Astyanax mexicanus: one gene and its partner. The main gene of each other region encodes a partner of the protein of the gene in region 2 in a complex. Links are inferred from orthologs where the notes say so. Each region holds a gene or a part of one and is shown on either strand. Other genes may lie near its edges.

The links. The genes of interacting proteins can lie anywhere in the genome.
Region 1: the proteins of sec31a (region 2) and pdcd6 are in contact, whole or in part, in a crystal structure (PDB 3WXA), measured with the Homo sapiens proteins. The link is inferred for Astyanax mexicanus from reciprocal best matches to the Homo sapiens genes SEC31A and PDCD6. Residues at the interface, in NP_001070675.1 of Homo sapiens: Asn837, Pro838, Pro839, Pro840, Pro841, Gly842, Phe843, Ile844, Met845; in NP_037364.1 of Homo sapiens: Val31, Val35, Leu48, Ala51, Leu52, Ser53, Asn54, Gly55, Thr56, Trp57, Phe85, Trp89, Ile92, Gln96, Phe99, Phe148.

Annotation. Positions count from the first base shown.
Region 1 is NC_064413.1:885,969-897,688, reverse strand, and holds the start of pdcd6 (programmed cell death protein 6), read left to right. Parts: upstream 1-6,592; 5' UTR 6,593-6,850; coding exon 6,851-6,933; intron 6,934-11,720. Other genes in the region: rec8b (REC8 meiotic recombination protein b), read right to left, coding at 1-26, 786-853, 1,415-1,487, 1,807-1,927, 2,361-2,436, 3,316-3,458, 4,270-4,338, 5,222-5,277. UniProt on the Homo sapiens protein: Calcium sensor that plays a key role in processes such as endoplasmic reticulum (ER)-Golgi vesicular transport, endosomal biogenesis or membrane repair.
Region 2 is NC_064427.1:26,910,717-26,921,746, forward strand, and holds the start of sec31a (protein transport protein Sec31A), read right to left. Parts: upstream 4,558-11,030; 5' UTR 4,357-4,557; intron 1,419-4,356; 5' UTR 1,418-1,418; coding exon 1,339-1,417; intron 1-1,338. UniProt on the Homo sapiens protein: Component of the coat protein complex II (COPII) which promotes the formation of transport vesicles from the endoplasmic reticulum (ER).

The DNA.
Region 1 (11,720 bases), on a different chromosome or scaffold from region 2:
GCCTCAGGTAGCTCTGCCCCTCCAAACTAAGTATTAAGGGAAAGAAGACGATAGAAATCAAGAGCCAGTGATGCATGTGGGTGAGAAAAGGTCATATACAGACTATTATGACTATACTATTTCTCAACTAGATTGTGGCCATGACTCAGAGTAACGTGGGAACTAATGTAGGCAGACTATTATTAATATATTATTATATATTAATATTATGGGCAAAAAGAGATCTCATGATTAGCTGTTTACTCAACTTGCTCTCCAAAGCGAGGGAATTTTATGGAAAAGAAGACCAGAAATCTGGACTAATGCCAGGTTTATACTATACGTCTTTTCTGTTATTGTAACTTTTACATTTTCATTTCTTACTGAAGAAATGAAAACCAACATTAAAGCCACACCTGGACGGGATTAGTCTCTTAGGGGGACGTCTGGGTAAAATATTTTTTTTCTCAGTCACATGACATCGCGGTGTTCAGTAGCTCCTCCATATCCACTCGCTGTTGTGTTTTTAACGTGGATCTCCGTGGAAACCGTGGGGCGCCCAAAGTGTAATTACGGTGCGTGGCAGTGAACAAATAGCTATTTTATTAAAGGCGAGGAGACGAAACTCAGAGATGTGCGTCCGGACAGGACTAAAATTACCGGAGGAGCACGGAGTTCAGAGAAAAACAGTCTGAGAAAAACACCTACATGATCGTTCCCCCCATAAAAGAGGAAATTACCCCAGAACCCCCTGAGAAACTAATCCCATCCGGATAGGGCTTAAGTAAGAGTTTACTAAATCTTACCTCAGCAGTGAGGATAGGCACCGGTTCCTTATCTCTGATGGTAATTGTTTCAGGAGAGGCTATGTGGCCTTAAGAAATGGAAGATTATGTTTTAGCAAGGTAATGATAATGTGCTTACTGTACATCAAACACACAAGAAGAGTGAGAGAGACAGATACAAAGCAACACTAGATAAATTAGAAAAGAACCAATACTAATACTTTCGGTCATCAGGGCTTTGCCCAAAAACGTCTGGTTAAATGCTAAAGTTCAAAAATGTTTGGCTCAATTGAGAAATTCCAGAAGCTTTCGACTAAATGGTGAATTGCTAATACTTTACCTGATTGTAATGGTTTGAGAGGTACATTGCCTGAAACTGGTTCTATTTGTATATAGAATTGTGTGGTTCTGGATTTAAAAAGTAACCTGTATAACTGTTTTTATTATTTATAGCTTAAAGACACTTTTGAATGGAATCCTATGGGTAAAAACATTTATTGTATGAAAAAAGAAAATAGTTAGGTTATAGGTGCGATCACCCTTCAAAATTCTATGTAAAGAGTAAAGGATTTTTTGGGAAATTCAGTAAATAGAATAATGAAGAGTAAGTTGGCTTTCTCAATTCAACTTTTTAAATGTTTATTTCTTACCTAAACCAGGTGTGTCTTCCTTAGTCAGCTTTAGAGGGCATTCTGGAGATGAAGCCATTATAAACAGACCAGCCTAAAAGTGAACAGTAAATCCATACAGGGTCTAAGATCACAATAAGGATATTATACAACGATCAGCCATAACATTATCACCACGGACAGATGTACTGAAATATCAGATCTGTTGTGGTAGCACAGGTAAGGCAGATCTGTGTATACAATTCAACACTGACATCATTATTTAAAGTTTTCTAGTCATAATGTTGCACCTACAATATGGACAGAACAAGACTGTTCAGCTTGAATATGATTTGAGCATTATTCTGGTGTTTCACTTTGTGAATCATGTGGGGAATAACTGCAATTTTCAGCACCGCTGCAAGTTTCCCAACCTGTGGCAGCTGGTAGGGACTGGGCATCTCACACTCGTCCCCCATTTTCCCAAAGAATGGTGCCAGAGCTCCCTCTGCCTCCTCTAACAGGAACAGCGAGTCTGGGAGGTTCAGACCCAGCCTGCAAGTCACAAGAGTTTTCAGTAGTTGCCACATAATGTTATAGATTAAATTCTTATAGATTAAAGTCCTTACAATTGCCTACAAGGTTTCCAAAAGACAGAGCTCTACAAAGGCCACATACTCTCCTAACACCTCTAACAAACTAACTAACTTAACTTTTAACCTCATTCCTGCTCCCCCTCCTCATTTCTTCCTCTATCACATTTTTGCCCTTAGGCCATGCCTAAAAAATGAATTGCCTTGGACTTTTATGTCGTTTATTGCTAAAGTACCTCATTTTTTGTGTCCCTTTGGATAAAATTGTCTGCTAAATGCAATGTAATGTAATGTCTTTTAAACCAAGCCATTCAAGAATAGTAGTATAAATCAGTCTATCAAGGTCAATCAAGATCAATAAAAGGTGATTTGACAGAGAGCTTGTTGAGTCTGACCTGTCCGGCTCCTGCATGTCGATCTTTGAGTGTCTCTCTGAGCGCAGCAAATGTCTGATGGCCTGCTGGACCTCCTCTTTGGATGGATCATGTAAACAAACATTACAATCAAATATTAATATTGAATTTACAAAGAGGCAAGCAGAACAAAACTGTTTTTGAGGCTTCTGAGATATAACCCTATACAAATACAATCTCTATATTATGTCTATGTCATATGATGTCTGAAGTACTGTTGTGTAAAGTTTTTTTAATTTTGATGATCTGTCTACATTGGTAGTGAGAAGGCGCTTTGATTTATATGATTTATATTTTACATTATGGACTTTATGTTGTCTTTCTAATTTTGTGAGGCTTATTTGTGGGCATTGCTAAATATCACTTCCTCATCTTATCACCTACTACCCTCCACCTCCTCACATACATCTGCATGCCACCTACTATTGTGTTTTTCTAAGATATAGAGGGCGGACAGCAGCACAAACAGGAGGTGGCTGTACTGCGTTACATCATGCATCGCCATGTTGTTGCATTTACAAATTCACTCTAAATCTGCCTATAAACAGTATGTGTAGGATTTTCACAGGTTGAATAGCTTGAAAAGCATGAATAAAATAAAATTCTGTATATTTATTGTTTCAGTTCATATATATATGAAGAGGAGAGGGTGTTTGGTAGGATTAATAATGAAAAGAAAACAAGTTCATATTCAAAAAGAGTTCAAAAATCAGTATTTGGTGAAATAACCCTGGTTTTTAATCACAGTTTTCATGCATCTTGTCATCATGTTCTCCTCCACCAGTCTTACACACTGCTTTTGGATAACTTTATGCTGCTTTACTCTTGGTGCAAAAATTCAAGCAGTTCAGTTTGGTGGTTTGATGGCTTGAGATTATCCATCTTCCTCTTGATTATATTCTAGAGGTTTTCAATTTGGTAAAATTAAAAATCTTACCCAGCAGGAACCCACACTGTCGGTGGTAGACAAGTATCACCCCATACTGCAGCTGACAGGAGAGATATAGAGAGAATCGTGGGCGTGGCAGGCTGGGATGAATAGGTGGAACCTGGACTTTCACATAGTCAATTATGTCCTCACTGCACACACATACACACACACACACACACACACACAATTACACACATACTCAAAAAGGCCACCTTAAAACAGCTGGTAATTTCACGTTAAATTTATGATTGACTAATTGATGCAACATAAAAGAACTAGCTAATATTGAATTGACTGAAAATGACTTCTTCTAGAGATTTTACCTCTTGTGACTTTTCACATCCCTAACAAACAAAAATGTATTTAAAAGATTTCTGGTGCACTACAGTGTGATCACAGCCAACCAATGTGACTGATACAGCCTCTCAAATCAAAGCCTACAGACAAATAAATCAGCTACTTTAATAGAGGTTAAGTAAGTGCAATTAACATTCACTTACTTTGATTGCACTCAATAATACATCATGTAAATCGTGCAGGGAACAGTGAAGAATGGTTGACATTACGCTTAAAGGCCAAAACCAGACTACACTCTCACTAGACAAATTATCTGACTAATTGATAAACACACAGGTTTCTGAATATATGAGAAATATATTTCTGACACTATATATTGTATGGCTTAGGAATAGAAGAAACTGTAAAATCAACAAATAGGCACCCAAATTTCTACTATTTTCACATATAAATAAAGTATCACAAAACTAAAACCATACAATATATCACAATATTGATATTTTGTCCCACCTCTACTCATCCTACTATATTTAAAACCATTTGGAGACACATTGGTTAGCTATGAAGGTTTCCAGCGTTTTATATATCACCTATGATTCACATGCCTATAAACCACCTGTTGATTATCAGAGTATATTGATACTAATTCTGAGGATTCTGTACCATGTTCTTCCAATGTTGACCTTGAGGAACTCTCTTCTTGTTATCTTGATACCTTTAGTGGCTGCCAACCTGTTAGTGGTAAGAGTAATAACAGACATTATAATTTCATCTGTGATAAATCATTTACACTGACTAACCTAGCTACATTATTAGGTTATTTTTATTTTTATTTTAAGTAATTTGGTCAGTCAGGTTAGACTATAATAACATAGTTAACATGCTCCTACAGCTTAGGTAGCTAGATGTTTAGCATTAGCACTAGCTATGTTAAATGTATAAAAAAGTCATTTTTATTTTACATTTTTAAATATATGTTTATTTATCAAAATAACCTGTGACCTTTGGGTATTAAAATGTCAACTTACTTCAGCTAGCATTAGCTTATAGCTTAGCTAAAAATGACCTCAACTGTGACTGATTTATATTAACTGTGTGGAATACTGAAGGTATTTGGTATATTGTGCTCCAGCAGTTAGCTAGCTAGTTAGTTCGCACTAGCTATGCCAAATGTATAAAGATTTAATTTTCATTATACTTACAGACTTACAGACTTATGGTGACTAGGAAAATATGTAAATTTACTTTAGCTAGCGTTAGCTTAGCTAGTTAGCTTAGCTAGTTAGCTTAGCTAAAAATTACCTCAGTGGTGACTGATTTATTTTAGTAACTTAGCTTGCCTATCTAGATTGATGAATTCTATTTAATAAATATTTAACTGTAATATCCCTTATGCTGTAAAAGTCTCCTATATTAGGGAAAATGACAACTGTGTAAAATACTGAAGGTAAATTATATGGTAAGGTTATACTGTGCTCCTGCAGTTAGCCAACTAGCTAACCTAGTTATTTAGCACTAGCTATGTCAAATGTATAAAAGTCCTTTTTTATTATATTTAAATTTATAAATATATAATTTTTCTTCTCACTATTATTTATCAAAATGTAAATCTTACCAGATTGTAGAGAAACAGCCAGTGTGGCGCTGAAGAACGTTAGGGTAGTAAAACATGTCAACTAGATTGTTAGCTTAGCTAGAATTTACCTCAGCAGCAACTGATTTATCTTGTTAGCTAACTTAACTAGTGTAACCTAGCACCATATACTACTGGTTTGTTGATCACAAAGTCTATTAAATAAATATTTAACTAATAAATATATTACCCTTATGCTGTAAATTAGCTAATTAAAATGTATATTTATTTTTTTAACTTGATCTGGCGGTTTCTGATAGCTAGTTAACTAGCTAGCTAATATTTAAAAATCTTCTCATGTCTGTTTATCCAATCAGCACTCAGCACGCACTGGACAACCAATCACACTGATTTCTGTTCATGTTGCTGTGGAACTCCCAAAAATATGGATTTTAATTGGATAATTTAAGTTTCTTTTAATTTTTTCATTATTGTTTTATATTACAACCAGACAGACAGAAAAACAGATAAGCAGCTAGATTCTTTATTAAGACATTTCACAGTTAATAGCAAATGTTCAACACAGCACAGAGGATATATTTACACTATACAGACACAAATATGTGTAAACTACACACAACTTAGTTATAAACATAAATATACCAACCAAAATACTTTGCTTCTTTTAACCATCAACAAGCTTCTTACGCCTCTCAGCTGGAATTTTGGACCACATATTATATATTAGTTTCTTCAAAATAGCCCCCTTTGCTCTGATTACTGCTTTACACACTCCTGGCATCATTATATCAATGAGCTTCAAGAGGTGGTCACCTGAAATGAAAAGTTTTCCATGAGTCTTGAAGGAAGGAAGGAGTTCCCAGAGGTGTTTATTAGCACATGTTGCTCCTTTGCCTTCTTCACTCTGTGCTCCAGCCCACCCCAAACCATCTGGATTGGGTTCAGGTCCGGTGACTGTGGAGGTTCAGCTCATTTTTTGGTTAAGTACATAAAACTCCACATGTGTTCATTCATAGTTTTGATGCTTCAGTGAGAATCTACAATGTAAATAGTCATTAAAATAATTAAGAAAACGCAATGAATATATATATATATATATATATATATATATATATATATATATATATATATATATATATATATATATATATATATATATATATAAGCTGCTATCTCAAGATAGATTGATATCTATATAGAGTTCAAATAGGAAGAAATACTAACATTTAGTTATCTCGTATTTTAGTTACATATGGTCTTAGTTACAATCTTTTCCAAACGGATAGAACTATCTAATATCTGTAGAAAACAGTAGAAAACAGGCTGTAATGTGATATAATGATATAATGTGAGAGTTACTCCACAAAGACTATTCATATTTTCCAGCGGCCGGTCAGAGTGGTTCAGCGCTGCGGCTCCGCCCCTTTAGCACAAAGTCTGCGCGCTGCCCAATCAGGAGGCTGGGAGGTGCCGCGGGACCAATTAGCGCGGTGCAGGCGCTGCGTCACTGCATTTTTTATTCGAAGCGGCGAGTTTTCCGCGGAGGCCCCGCCTCTGCGCGGAGAATGTCAGAGTCAGATTGAGGCTGAAGTTGAAGGACTACGCCTCGCGCTGCTGCTGCCTTTATTTTCCGCTTCGATTAGAGGAGAAATGGCTTATCACAACCAGTACAGACCCCCGCACTACAACCAGGCGCCGCCGGACCAGGCCTTTCTCTGGAACATCTTTCAGAGGTGAGAAAAAACAGCAGCGAGCCGCTACGCGCGCTGTTCCGCATTCAAAGCGCCGTCTATCCAACGTTAAAAACAACCCACCACTACCAACACCACCGACACAGCTAACCTTACAACCACTCAACTAACTAACTACCGACACAGCTACTCAACGTGCGGGCCGCAGCTGAGGTAGCGATCTAATCTCGCTAGTTATTACAGATTAACGTTAACGTTAGGTTTGTTAACGTTAGTGCGGTGGGCACAAGGGGGTGGGGGGGCACAGTGCTTTACTGTGCTTTACTGTGCCAAGTTGTTCTGAGCTTTACTACTAACCTTATTCTGTTAACATTAATATGAATTCAACAGGGATTTAGACATTTTGTGTTTTAACGTTACAGAAAACTTTAACGTTACAGATTTTGCTTTGAACGTCGTAGGTTGGCTAATTAACGTTACTTTTCTTAAAGCCTTTATGCTTTTTATGAGTATCCTAGCGACGGAGTAACCAGCTTTCTTTAGCTAACGTATATTGTTTACGTGAGATAAATAACTATAAAGGTTGAATAGACATCTAGTTAAATCTATCTTTTTTTCTGAGAGTTTCTAAACGCGGTGTTGTGTCGAGTTGTGCTACCCATCGGTACGTGCTTCCTACGGGCAATGCGCATGCGCTGACCTACACTTTTTTAAATAAAATTATTTAAATCTTAGCTAATTAAGATTTAGACTATCCAAAAATGGCACATAGCACGTACAGAAGGTAGAGAACAAGCTCTTATATGGTGCTTTTTCGTATTTTTTCCTTATCTATTCTTATATTTTGCCTTAAATATAGCTACACTAGGGAAGCACGTTTTGACAACGTAGCACAACTCGACAGAACATGGGTTCTGTTTTTTTTCTAACGTCGTTTCCTGGTTTTAGTCAGGATATTGCCTGCCTACACATCAGCCTGAGCATGAGTGTGTGAACTGAATGCCCACTGAATAGTTTATTTTTGTGTCTCTTTATTTAACCAGTTATCCAGTTAAAACACTTGATTTCAGACACGCAGGATCCTTCGTGACTTGTGTATCTTGTGTACGTAGCTCCAAAGAAAAGCGTAGGTGTGTTTTCTGTGTGTTTTTTTATTTATTTTCATTTTTAACAGCCCAGCCAAGTTGCCTCTCTGGTGGTAGTAGTGAATGTAGTGAATTATGTAATACTGCGCAGGGCTGGCTGCTGCTTTCTCACACATGTTGTAATAAACTGCTCTGGGCTCTGAAGGCAGATCTCGCGCAGGTCAGGTTTATGTCTCTACCTGAATTTACCTGGTTAAATTAGCTAGCTAACCTCGGTTACAGCAGCAGCAGCCGCAGAGCTACAGCTGATACTGTACTGCAACGTGGCCGTAAAGCCCCCAGCAGCTGGATAAAGCTGCTCACGGAACTCCGTGGAGAACTGCTGGAGACAGATCAGGCAATTACGAGGGTTTGCCCTTGATCATGTGAACTAAGGAGAGTAAAGGTCTCAGTGAGTCACTCACAGCTTCTCCTCCTTCTCTCCATTTTCTTCTCCTTTTTCCCCTTCTTTCCCTTTTTTACTTTTCCTATTCTTCCCATTTTTCTCCTTCTTCTTTTCCTTATTCTCTTTCTCTTTGTTTCTTTTCCTTCTTTTTGTTCAAACCTTGTTTTTTTCTTCTCCTTCTTTTCATTCATTTCCTTCTTTTTGTTATTTTCCTTCTTTTTGTTTTCTTCTTCTTATTATTCTTATTCTTAGTCTTCTTCTTTTCCTTCCTCTCCTTCTTTTCTTCCTTTTCCTTCTCTAGCTTCTTTTCATTCTTTTTGTTCAAACCTTCTTTTTCTTCAAACCTTTTTTTTTCTTCTCATTCATTCATTCATTCATTCATTCAATTTTTAGTTCATTCAATTATTCCTTCATTCTTCTGCTTCTTCGTCTTCTTCTTACTATTACTTATACTTCTTATTTCTCTTCTTTCTCTTTTTCTTCTCCTTCTATTCCTTCTTTTCCTTCTTCTCTTGCTTCCTTCCGTTCTTTTTGTTCAAACCTTCTTTTTCTTTTCATTCATTCATTCTTCGTCTTCTTCTTCGTCATCTTACTATTACTTATACTTCTCCTTATTTTTCTTCTTTCTCTTTTTTCTTCTCCTTCTATTCCTCCTTTTCCTTGTTCTCTTGCTTCTTTTCATTCTTTTTGTTCAAACCTTCTTTTTCTTTTCCATCTTTTCATTCTTCTTATTCTTCTTCTTCTACTTCTTCTACATCTTCCTTTCTCTCTTCTCCTTTCCTTCTTTCTTCCTTTTCCTTGTTCTTTTCTTCTTTTTTGTTCAAACCTTCTTCTTCTTCTTCTTCTTCTTCTTCTTCTTTTACTGCTTTTCTTTTTACTCCTTCCTCTTCTTCTTCACACTGTGGCTGTGACACAAATCAGTCTCCAAACATATCCTAAATAAACAGGAAGATTTCATCTGTCCTCACAATATTTAGCGTTGTAGCTGCTAAGCTATATTATACAGTATACATTGTATACAATATATTAGTATATGTTCTTATTTGTTTATCAGCTACCCACCCATGTGTTTGAACAAGTATGACCAAACACGCCGGTTGACCAGGAAGACCAAAATAAAATGCAACCTACAGATCAAAAACCATTTGGATGACCAGCCTTTTAACCACCTTTACCAACAAAGACCTTTAAATACTTTTAAAACTCTTAATAATCAAGTTTCATTTTCACACGTGTGTGCTAAACCTAGCACCTCCAGCATGTATGACCATTACAGAGGAGCTCTGAATAGGTTCCTTCTCAGGTTTCTTCTCACTCTGTCTGGAGGCACTTTCACTTTTTAGATTATCATGCTATGTATAAGCCACTCCCCCAACCACCGGTAACTCAGTATGAGCGGAAAATATAGGCATTCTACCCGTTTAAAAGTCCTAGTTATGTTTAATTTTCACACGTGTGTGCTAAACCTAGCACTTCCAGCATGTATGACCATTACAGAGAGGAACTCTGAATAGGTTCTTCTCAGGTTTCTTCTCACTCTGTCTGGAGGCACTTCCACTTTTTAGACTATCATGCTATGTATAAGCCACTCTCCAACCAACCTTGACTCAGTGTGAGCAGAAAATATAGGTATTCTATAGGTTCTTCTCAGGTTTCTTCTCATTCGGTCTGTAGGCACTTTCACTTTTCAGACTATTATGCTATTTATAAGCCACTCTCCAAGCAACGTTACCTCACTATGAGCAACGAATGTGAGATTTTGAGTGATTCGCTCAGTTTGGCAGCTTGCAGGCTGATTGCAGCAGTGGAAAACAGCAGTCATGTGAGGAAAGCTGGAAGTGGAAGTTTTACTGTAGCCTGTGTTCACCTGAATTCCAGGAAGCTGGAATGGAACAGAGCTTGCGTATGCAAAACAGATGGCGTTACCTAAGGGGAAGGATGTAACGGTAAAACGCTTTTACAGTAAAAAATGAACGTATCTGGAGTAGGCCAGTATTTCAGAGAAAGCTCAGAGAAAGCTCAGAAAAACTGTAGAATTTCGGACTCAGTATTCCTGTTGTCCCGTTGAGCGAATCATCCAATTTTCTTGGCCCGACATGAGTGAACAAGCAGCCGTGTGTTCAGAATTTGGTGGTTATGGAGACAGAGCACGCCCTTCTTGGACAAACAAACCAACAAGGTCTTCTATTCATTCCATCATGCTGAATCAGATTTTATATTTTTTTGGTGTAGCAACAGCTCAGGAGGCCCAGCTTGTAGCCGTGTGTTTTCTGAAGGGGTTTCCCTGTTTTTACTTCTTGAATACTGGATTTTTTGTTTGACTGTTTATCCAGGATTGTTGTCAGGCTGCTGGGGAATGTCTGACAACTTCACAAAAGTGTCGCACAGAGATCTGCTAAAGCATAATCAGGGTTCATACAGTCATGAAAAACCTGGAAAAGTCATGGAAGTCATGAATATTCAAAATCGCAATTTCCATGCCTGAATAAGTTTTGGAAAAATAAAATTAACCCAGAAAGTTTTAGAAAATTAAGGGGAAATTTGCAATCTACGAGCCTTTTATATGTTTTTAATTTTATTTTTGATCTATCGACAAAGAAAAGCTATTTTATGCTTACAAATACATCAGATTAGAGTTAGTTCAGTAATTAAGCCCTACTCAATGGAGCCATCAAGATGTGACACACATTTTATTATTGGAGATTGTGTCAGCATTGCTTATAGAAAGGATTTTTTTTATAAATTAACTGTAATCAATTTTGATTATAGTAATAGTTGATTTTTGGTTATTTTTTTTAGTTTTTAGTTGATTTTTGCCTTGAAGGCATGCAAAAGTCAGTATGAACCCTGCTTATAGTCAGACGAAAATCATATCTGATTACAAAGTGACTGTTTTTAAATGTGTATGACCATAGGAATAATGTCCAGTAAAGAAATTGCAAACTGTATAACTCTATATTTCAGATATATTACAGTATTACAGGCTCAGAATCTGATCGTGTTGGTCTGAATCTATGTTTGGAACCAGTTTCCTTGGAAACATTCTGGTATGAGAAGGTTTTAAGGTGGAGCCAGTAATAATACCACACATTCTGTCCAACTCTCTTTATGTGTGAAACAATTCCTGGACAAGCCTGTGCTGAAATTACCACACGTTTACTGAGTTGTAATAAGAATCAGTCTTTTAAATGCATGAAGTAGAAATAAATACAGCTCTAAAAAATTATGATTTTCTTTGATTTTACCAAATTAAAAACCTCTGGAATATAATCAAGAGGAAGATGGATGATCACAAACCA
Region 2 (11,030 bases):
TTATCTGCTGAACCCATCTGGGATCTGAGGGTACTGTGATTAATTAGGTAAATCACAATGATTATGTTGCAACAAGCAGAATATTGTAGCTGTGCACTGCAAAACATATCTCCATAACAGCAATTTTACAGGAGAGAGATAAAACCTTCTTAGCTTTCAATGGAAGTCAATGTAAAAAAAAATGTATTTCAGATAATCTAGAGAATTTGTATTGGTCAATTCATTGCGAAAATGCCACATTGTAAGGGAAAGTTGTGTGTTAATTATATAGTAAACTAAAAATCAACAGAAATGTAGATACTTGTTTTTCTTTGGACAGAGACATAATCACTCGTTCTGCTAGCATCCATATGCACAACTTTAGCATAAGCTAGTTACATAAAAACATAGTTTCCTAGGTAGCTTAATAAATCAAACAACAAAAATCTGAAACCCATTAAATACAGTATGTTAATGCATTCAGTGAGTTTTGCACCTACCAAATACTAGCTACATTAGACGTCTATTTTACTGGGTGAAAATGCTAATGCATAATGATAGTAGATGTATTTCTGCCTTTCTGCCTTCGGTTATAGAGACCTTGCTCACTAAACTGTATTTTAAAACACTGATTTGTAAGACAGCATTGGCAAATTGGTAAATATAGTGCTGTCTTAAGCTGAATCTGAATACTTGAAATGTGCTATTCAAATGATGATAGCTAAACATTTTGCTATAGAACTGATTAGCAATTAGCAATTGCAATACTACAGCTCAGCTGGTATAGAGGCAATCGTGACTGGAAAAATTGGTTGTGGCCAAAATATGTAAACAAAAAAAGCAGTGTAGAGATGTATATTTTAGCTTAAACAAGGCAGCTAAGGCTAAACCTGTTAGCTAGTAGAACAATTGTTTTTGTTTACATGTTAAGATGTACTTGACTCTACAAATAAGGCAAGGTATCTATACAGTATTCTAGGCAACACAGATACTGTACATACCGTACATATTGTTATGTTAGTATAACAAAGGATGAACTGCTATCACTGGTAACTAGGCAGCAAAGAGACAACTAATACATTTGCTAAACTCCAAAAGCAACGTTTGTTACTTCAGACCTGCAGTTTAGTAGCTGGATAAAATGTACAATACCACCACTAATGGAAAAGCCAATTAAATTATTAATCATAATTATTCATGCAACAAATAACTTCTTCTGAATATTTTATGGCCTACACTGCAGACCTTTGTGACTTGTGGAAAAATACTATACATGTACCCCAATACAGAAGATTATTGCCTTCCCAAAACAGTCACATACAAGTCTTCAGCTCAGAAACTACAGTGTATATGAGTTACCTGCTGCCAAGTAAATGGGGTGGTGCTGTGCCGGGCTCCAAGCCTGTATGGCAGTGCGGTTTATCTCTTTCAGCTTCATCCTACAACCACAACAATCACAGAAGTGTTATCAACTGACACTGTGAGGTTAAAATCCGTTAACGCAAACAGCCTGCTGATGGATATCACAGTACTACTAGAAAAGGCTTTATAATTATACGTACGTGTAATTCATTGAAGGAGAATGTTACCAAAGGAATGGTGTAAAGCTCTGTGGAAAGGGCCTGTTAAGTCAGAACTTTTGAGTCACCAACTGTGTTGGTGGTAAGAGAGGTCTGGAAAAGCAGTCTGAACCAGACATCTTAATAGTTTTATACTTCTAACAGGGCCACAAACAATCAATAGTAATATTTGCAGTCAGATTTTAGTTTTTGTACTGAAATCTCAAAATCTCTTGTTTTACATCTCAATTCCTTCATTCCAACCTTGCTCATAGGACCATAACCTAAACTTAAATCACATTAAGTTAGGTAAAATAGATAGGAATATGATTTCTGATACCTGAAACATTGTTTTCACATAGTTCAAAAAATTGGCATAATATTTTTGTTTTCATTCATTTATGGAAAGGTAGTACAAGGTAGGGGGTTATTAAGCAAGATAAAGATATTATATATTACATATTTTTCTAGTTTGCCACTAATTCACCATTGTAAACATTACATATTAAAGGACACATATGTCCACTGTTTGTGCTGGATATTTTTTCCAAGTTCATTCAGATTTTTTTTTTTTTTTTTTTACACTTTTGCCTGTATACCTGAAATCCATTTTAAGGTAATACTCTCATTCTGTTTATACATCCAACTCTATCCATATTGGCCCCCATTCCTCATTGCAGAAATCATGCAGCCCTATTTTCAAAGCATCACATATGATGCCTATTACCTGATAAACTGTTTTACCGTAGTTTTGAAGTTGTATTTGAGATCTCAGTTTTCTTTAAGATTTTTGGCCTAAAATATATTTTATAATTCAATAAAGGTAAGGCAGTGCATGTAAGGTGTTATACAGAAGATTAAAGACAGATTTTTATTTTAACACTATTTTAGCACTGTAAACATAAAAACAAAATTAAGGACAGACAAATTCACTGGTTATGTTTGAAAGCAACTATAAAGACAGAAATAAAACTTTATTGCCTAGTCCTAGTCCCCATTATCCAGAATTCTTTAAAGTAAAATATATTTTACTTCAAAGTTCAAATCACTCTAAATTATTATAAATCCCCTTTAACAAGCTGTTCCTGAGCTGAACTGGTGTGTTTGAACAGGGGAAAAAAACGTAATAACATGCAAGGAATCCCAATCCCAGTCATGGTGATCTGCTGCCTTGAGGGGTTTAAACTCCAATCCTAATCTAGCCCAGCTAATCTTGTTATTGAAGACCTTCTGGAGCATCTGAAGCCATGGAGGCATGTTGGAACTATAATCTGACTAGAACTAGACTTAGAATATAACCCTGCATTACAACGCAGGGGTACTATTAGCTACAGTTCCACTATGGTGAACCATTTACTTAGCTTTACAATTGGTGGATCAGTCAGGTAGGCCCAAACTACAGTGCTAAAGAATTCATAACACAGGTCCAGCATTCCTATGAGTGCATGAACACGTTTTGGTGACAGACTGGATTACGAATGCTCTGATGGAGCAGACCAAACTTTAGGAAGAAGGTGAAATGTTAGCTAGCTATAGAGCCTGGCCCTAGATTATCAAAGTGGTGCCTAAAAAACACTGATGATTACGTGGCCTATGGATTGCCCCAGCTCAGATTGTACAATCTGGGGTAAAACAGAAGAGATTTCAGCAGATGAATAGCAAATTCTGGCAACTATGATCAGCTGTTACAACATCTTAACTAGCTAGTTAAGGTTATGATTGATCAGTCCTACTAAGACATGATTAAACAACATAACTAACTAAACATACTCATGTTGAATTAAAGTGAGAGCAGTTTCTGAGCCCCAACCATTGAAACCCTTTAAATTACCCTGGATTCAATGTCAATTTCAAAATTTCTGCATTTCACAGCATGCCGGCTACAGTATGGTGCTATGTTAAACTAAGGTTAATTTTAATCATCAACTTTAAAATATGTATCAAATGCAATCAAACAATAAGCTAACGTTTATTCAAATGTTCTTTGCTATCATGGGTAAACAAATCAAATGAATTAAACTAGCACACATTTAAGGTTAGCTAGAATCGTTAGTTAGGCAACAATAGCACAGTATTAAAGACATAGGCTATAACGCAAAGTAGCTAGTTTAGAAGGCTGTACAGGATGCTGAAAAAAAAAACATTAGCTAGCTAGAATTAAGTCTAAATTAACCAATCCTAGGTTAGATAACAGAACTTCCTACTAGGCTGCAGCATACAAGCTAAATAATCCAGATGTTAATAAACAGTATGCCTATGATGCTATGTTAAAATTGTTTTGCTATAAATCAACATTAAACTATGTATCTAATGTAAACAAACAATTAGCTAACGTTTATTCAATGTTCTTTGCTATCATGGGTAAACAAATCAAATGAATTGAGCTAGTGCAGATTTAAGGTTAGCTAGGACAGTGTGGCAACAATCAAAAGCACAGTATTAAAGACATATAAAGCAAAGTAGCTAGTTTAGATAGATGTACAGAATGTTGGAAATAATAATGAGTTAATCTTGATGATTAATATTAGGTCTAGGTAACTAAATTAGTTAGTTAGTTAGGTACTAAGGCTGCAGCTTAACTGACCTAGCTAAACAAGGCAGCTACTGCAGCCCAGAGCACAAAAACACACTATTACTGCCTCACTGACTCCTTTATAACAACCCAATCTGCTTCTCAACAATATTTAGAGTAGTATTAATATTAAATAAGTCTTCCTGGCTACATAACACAGCCCTAACTGTACTGTAGCTAACAGCTAAAGATAGCTTCAGCTAACAGAGCTTCTAAATCTCCCCCAACACTCCAAAAAGTGCTTACCTTCCCTCTGGTCGCTGCTCACAGGCATGCACAGCTCATCCACGCGGTCTGAACAGGGTAAAACTTTAATCAGCGGCTCAGAAATCCTTTTTCTCGGGTTAGTAAACTGTGTGCAGAGAGTCAGCGGCTGGCCCGGTTACACATAGGAACAGTTCCACGTCCCCACTGGCCTCCTCCATCAACGTGGCACAATACTGCCCTCCCCCAGAACAGCACTTCCGCTCAGCCAGCCAGTCAGCGCAGGCGGGCGCGTCCCAATTCTTCCCTACCCCCTATTTAGTGCACGTACTGTACTAGTGCACGTCTCTCTAGATGACTACGTGACCGACTGGGAGCCTGTGTTCTTCTAAATATATATATATATATTTTTTTTTGTGTGTACATAAACATACATTAATAGTACTGGGTAATATATATATATATATATATATATATATATATATATATATATATATATATATATATATATATATATATATGTGTGTGTGTGTGTACATTTGGAGTTTATCACCATCTATAATATGTCAACACCAGTGATGTCAGTAACGCGTTACTCTAATCTGACTCTTTTTTCAGTAACGAGTAATCTAACGCGTTACTATTTCCAATGCAGTAATCAGATTAAAGTTACTTATCCAAGTCACTGTGCGTTACTCTCTCTCTCTCTCCACCCTCACACACACTCACACACACACACACACAAACACACACACCACGTTCCCTTCCCCATCCCCCTCCGCTCTCCCCCAATCACACGCGTCTCGCTTTCTCCCCTGTCTCTCTCTCTCGCGCTCGGCGTGTCTTTAGTTTCCGCCCATTCTCGTTTTTTCGCCAGTTCTCGGGCTCCCTATCTCTTTATAAAGGCGGTTTTTCCCGGCCGCGTCCCAATTCACTAGCCAGCGCAGCGGTCTGCACAGATCTGATTGGCAGAGGAGAGCGTTTGAAGATTTTACACCACACGTGATTGGTCTGCAAGTTTCCCGTGCCGCAGAGCGCATACCATAAAGACAAGAAAAGTTCTGACGCTTTAAATGAACACTGTCAGAATTAAATCCTTCTCAGTAGTTTATCGGTTTGGCTCCGCATTGGACAACATCTAGGTCCGGACCCGGACCGCAGTCTGCATATATGTGATCCCTGGCCTCGACCATATACACGGTTCTGTTTTATAATACCACTCCTTGCTGCCCTGCAGAGAACAACAGGTTCAATGTTCAGTTTTACAGTGTTAAATATGTCAGGTCAAGAAAGACTTTCAATATTTTATATTTTTTTATAAAAACAAGTATTTAAGTTAAGTGAAATCAAGAAAGACCATATTTTATTTTTTATAAAAAAAAATATTTATGTTAAGTTAATTCAAGAGAAATGGTCTTTTAATTTTATAAAAATAAATAGTTCAACTTTAAATGTCTAGAGATACATTGATGCTGTTAAAAATGCTTTTTTTTCCAGTAAAGGGAGTATTGGCAAAACTGGTTATAATTTTTAAGTTAAGGCGACGGGACGTGGTGTGTGCAGCTGCTTAAAGTAACTAATAAAGTAACTTGTAAAGTAACTTAGTTACTTTTAAAATCAAGTAATCCATAAAGTAACTAAGCTTTTTTTAAGGAGTAATCAGTAATCAGTAATCGGATTACTTTTTCAAAGTAACTATACCATCACTCATGGCTGGATTACTGACCGGGCCAGTGGGGCCAGCGCCCAGGGGCCCTTGAGGTCAGGGGGCCCCAGGGGGACCCTGGCCGAAAACTTTTTGCGATGCCTATCAACATTTATGGTACAATGTATTTTTATTCCCGAGGGCCCTCCATTTTAAGGATCCTCTGACTATTAGGGATTTGACCCCATAGCCTCTTGGGGGCCCTAGCCATGCTTTTGGGGGCCCTAGCCATGCTTTTGGGCCCCTTAGGAAAATGGATGAGGCGTTGTGGCACTGCTCTGACTTCGACTTCTGGCTATTAGGGGTCCTAGGAAAGAGGGGGGCATATTTTTAGAGGGCCCTGGTTATGAGAGCCCCTACCAGGGGGCCCTAGAGAAGAGCAGAGCATACCATTAGAGGGCCCTTGATCACGAGGGCCCCTGCTATGGGGCCCTTGACTTCCATAGAAGTCGTTTACCATGGCTCCTTGACTTTTTAGGGAACTACAAATTCAGGCCCTTACTTAATGTTTCTGAATTTGTATTGTTTCAAACTTATTATGTTCACTTTCTCTTAAGCGCAGAGACACAAATTAATTTAGCAATTTTGCAATTATTTAAATTTAAGACAAAATTGCTTGTCTGATGAATGCTATCTTTGACACCGATTAAATTGACTGAATTTGGCCAAGGGTGTGATTTCACTTATGTGAAAACAACAAGCCATTTGACTAGTTTCATGTTTCCCCTTTAATAAACAACAGTAAAGAGACCAGTGGTCACTCTAGTTCTGAAGGAATGCATGAAAGGAAAAGTGCCTTTTCATACAACAGAACTGCAAGCTAATTTTACTGAGTAGCACAATTTTGGTTTGGTGATGATGAAACAGCAAGTGGTTTTGTTGTAGTAGCTGTGGCTGCGTATGCGTGTAACCCTGATATTTTGTTTGAGGATTATTTATTGGAAAACATATTTTATTCAGCTTGTTATTCAATGACTATTCAATGACAGTTTGACATGACTTGACATGTTTCAAGGCAGTGTGAAGGGGTCTTGACAATAATTAAACTTGATTTAATCTCATTAACACAGCATTTTTAATATACTTAAAACCTTCCCCCTGTGTCCCTCTCCATGCCTCTCTCTCTCTCTCACACACACACACACACACAAAACAGCATTTTTGTAGTAGACTATCTACTACAAAAATGCTGTTTTGTGTGTGTGTGTGTGTGTGTGAGAGAGAGAGAGAGAGAGAGAGAGAGAGAGGGGCAAGGCTGCCCCTCCCCCACCCTCTCACTCAGTGGTGAAAAATTGTTACATTGCCCTAAATTCCCACGGGGGCTGAGCCAATCAGGTGTTGCGAGAACTTCCAAGTGAATATGCAAGATCTATATAAAACCCCCTGCCAGTATCAAAACTCCTCACATTCAGACAGTTCAGCTTGCAAACTTGGTCTGTGCTTTTACTACAACTTTTACTTTGCTATTACCTGATCAGCAACCAACAGCCTTTTTAAAGGCTCATTGCCCTTTATACTGCATTATATTATTTTATAATATATATAAATATTTTTATATTATATTATACTATACTATATTGCATATATTCTGTTACATTATTTTCATAGTCTTTTCAAAGGCTTATATATTATATTATATTATATTACATGATATAATATTACATTACTATATTTACTATATTAAACTTTGAAAGGTTCACAGCCTTTTTCAAGGCTAGTGTAACGTTGCTAACTAGCAACTCACAGCTTTTTTAAAAGCTTATTGTTATTTGCATATTACATTATTGATAATAGTAGAAGTGTAAGCTTTATAATAGTACATACATACAATACATTTACAATAACAACAATTTATAGCTAAATAGTTATAGGTCAGCCTTTTTTTATTACATATTGTATCTGGTTCTACAATTTTGTGATTGTATTTTTTTCCTGAACATACAGCATAGAAACAACATAGTAAGTATTGGATAGGAATAGGAATTTGCAAGACAAGCTTCTATATTTGCATCTTAAGAAACACTTGCCATTAATAACATGGATCCCAAACACAAAAGTGGTGCCTCAAAAAGAAAAGCAAAAAAGATTAAGGAAGCAAATCAGGCAGATTTCCTGAAAAGCGTACCTTTGATCTCAAACTTCTTTGAGAAACCGCTCAATATGAGTGAGACAAGTATTGCTAATGTTAGCAGTGATCAGAGTTCTAGCAATGAAGATGTGATCCCCACTGGCTTAGTGTCACCTGTCAGTGACTATGTACCTTTGCAGACCCAGTCAGGTGCAGAGCAGGAATGCCAGCCCTGGCAGGCTACCACAGACCAGCAGCAGAAAGACCATGAAAGGAAAGTTGCAGGTGTGTCAGACCCACAATCAGACCAGCCAGCTGCATCGTGTGAGTGTCGTTTTTCAAATGAGGAGGGCAAGGACCCCAACTCCTGGTGTGAAACGGTCAACGACCCTGCTTTATGGCCCAGTACCATTACCGACCAAGCCAAGTCGATTCTTGTTAGTAGAGGAGAAACTGCATTTCAAAACAGAAGTGCTAAGTACCCAGCCTCAGTCAGGGATAGAGGCATTGGGGGTACCAGTAGGAGCTTTACAAATGCTCTACTCAGTTGCTCTCTACCCAATGGGCAAACTGTGACTAGGCAGTGGCTACTTTACTCTCCTTCAACTGGCTGTGTGTATTGTTTTGCTTGCAAACTGTTTTCCAGTAAGCACAATACTTTTGTTCATGGATTTTCTGACTGGAAACATTCAGAGCGGATTGGTGAGTGACGTATATTTGAGCATACACAGTTGTAAACACATGGGATATTCACCATATTCACCATTATCATATATATTTTCCACACAGAATGGCCACTGGACCACAGGGAACAGATGGAGTAAGCCCTAACTTAAACACATTTGTTTTTTTTAAGCATAGGCTAGTATGGGGGAGCACTTCTTTCCCCTCCCATGCATTGCGTCAAACTAACTTGTGTATGTTCTATGTATGTGCGCTATAGGAGCGTATGTTAAGTGTTTCCAGCTGTGAGGTGTTTTTAAACATAAAGGCTGGACTTCAGCAATTCCAGCCAGAGAGAGCTTGGGATCAGATTTGGGAACCTCTCTCCAAGCAAAACCGGTTTGCTTGTTAATGATGCTGTTATCTTTTGTACTAATTATTCTTTTTTCTGTAATAAATTTTCTTATATACAAAGAACAGTATCAGCAAAGACTTATTTCATGCATCTACATGGCATCACAGCTCAAGATTCTACAGAAAATGGCACCCCAGATGGGACTCTCGTTGTGGCCTGTGCTTTCATACTGCTTCAGTGCTTCCACCACTGCTACAGCCGGCAAAGGAAGGTAAGCATTTTTCACATGTGCGCTGGTGGAAGTGGTGAAGTGTGTGTGTGGCTGTTTGGGTCGCAGAGGAAAAGCCTGCTCCATGCGTGGCTGTCATGCTGTGTAGATGTATGGGATAATGCTTTGTTCTAAATTGGGGTAAAAGTATTTTAACTAGAAGGGGTACAACTGCAGTAATTAAGTAAAAGAGAAAGAGTTAAAGGAAAAAGTGAAGAATAAAGAGAAGAGTAAAAAAGAGAAATAGGAATGACGTCAAAAGAAGAAGAAGGAAAAAAAAATACAGTAACTAGTAACAAGTATTGTACGGCATGCGTGAAATATAGTCTTCAGGGCGGCGTAAGACTATACGTGATTTTCTATAAGACGTGTCCCCAAACCCGGCTTTAGCGTGCATTATCTATGTGAAAGTTGACTGAAAAAGGTATTTATGTGTTTTTAAGAAGAAGAAGAAGAAGAAGAGATTAAAACGCATGCGAAAGAGGAAAAAGTGTGAAAAGGCCTTAAAAGAGAATAAAGGAAAAAAGGATTAAAAGAAAAAGAAATAGAGAGGAATACTGCAGTGACAGCAGTAAAAGAAGCTAGCAAAGAAAAAAGAAAATATGTTAAGAAAAGAGATAGGAAACCTGCAGGAGAAAAAAATAAATAAATTTAAAATAAAAAAGGGAAAATGGTTAAAGAGTCGACTTTCTTATTTTTGGTGTGGAAGAAGTGTTGGCCACTGTGTGTGTGTGAAAGGCCTGTATGAGTCTGTGAGTGTGTGTGTGAGTGTGTGTAGGGTGATTGATGGTTTTGGGGCCTCTGTCTTTAGCTGTGTGAGGCTCTCTCTCTGTCTCACTCTGTCTGTGTGTGTGTAGTTATGTGTTGTATGTTATATGTTGTATGTTTTGTGTCTAATGGCCGATAATAAATAATTAATAGATTAGGGTAATTAAATGAGTATATGAAGTAATACAAATAAGTGGTAGTCTTGAAATGAGGAGAAAAAGCTTATGAGTTTATGAATAAGGGTTAAGTAAGTATTATATATGTGTTTGAGAATTATTATGACAATTAGTATTATTAGGAGTTGTTATCTGTGAACCAGTGAGCAAGAGCCAACTGATAAGAACAGAGGCACGTAAACATGGAAGTTGGTCATAACAGCTAAATCTGGGAATTATAACAGTGGATTTTAGTGGTGCGTTCTTCCTCCTGCTAGCCCCTCCTTTCTCGCTTTTTCTTTTTCTCTCTTTCTCTATGGGTCTTTTGAGGGACCTCTTTCTCTCTATATATCTATGTGCTAGGGATGTCTTTCAAAGAAAAAAATAAAAAAATAGTAAAACTGTGGAGTATATAAGTATTGTTAGAAGACTGTGTTTGTATAAGTACATTGTAAGAGTTCCAGATGTCTCAATGTTCAGAATCAAGAAATGTGCGGCCGCCAAACAATTGAACATGAGAGATTCTGAAAATATTCAGTCACTCTACTGACATGTGAGATCTCTGGAATTATAGTAGTGAAGTAACGAATACAATTGAGTAAAGAATTCACAGAAAAATAAAAGGATGAAGATAGAGAGCCAAACCATAAAAAAAGAAAACAAACAAACAAACAAAAAAACAATTAGGATTAGGAGGAATAATGTCAGGAAATGAAGGAAAATATAAAGTCAGG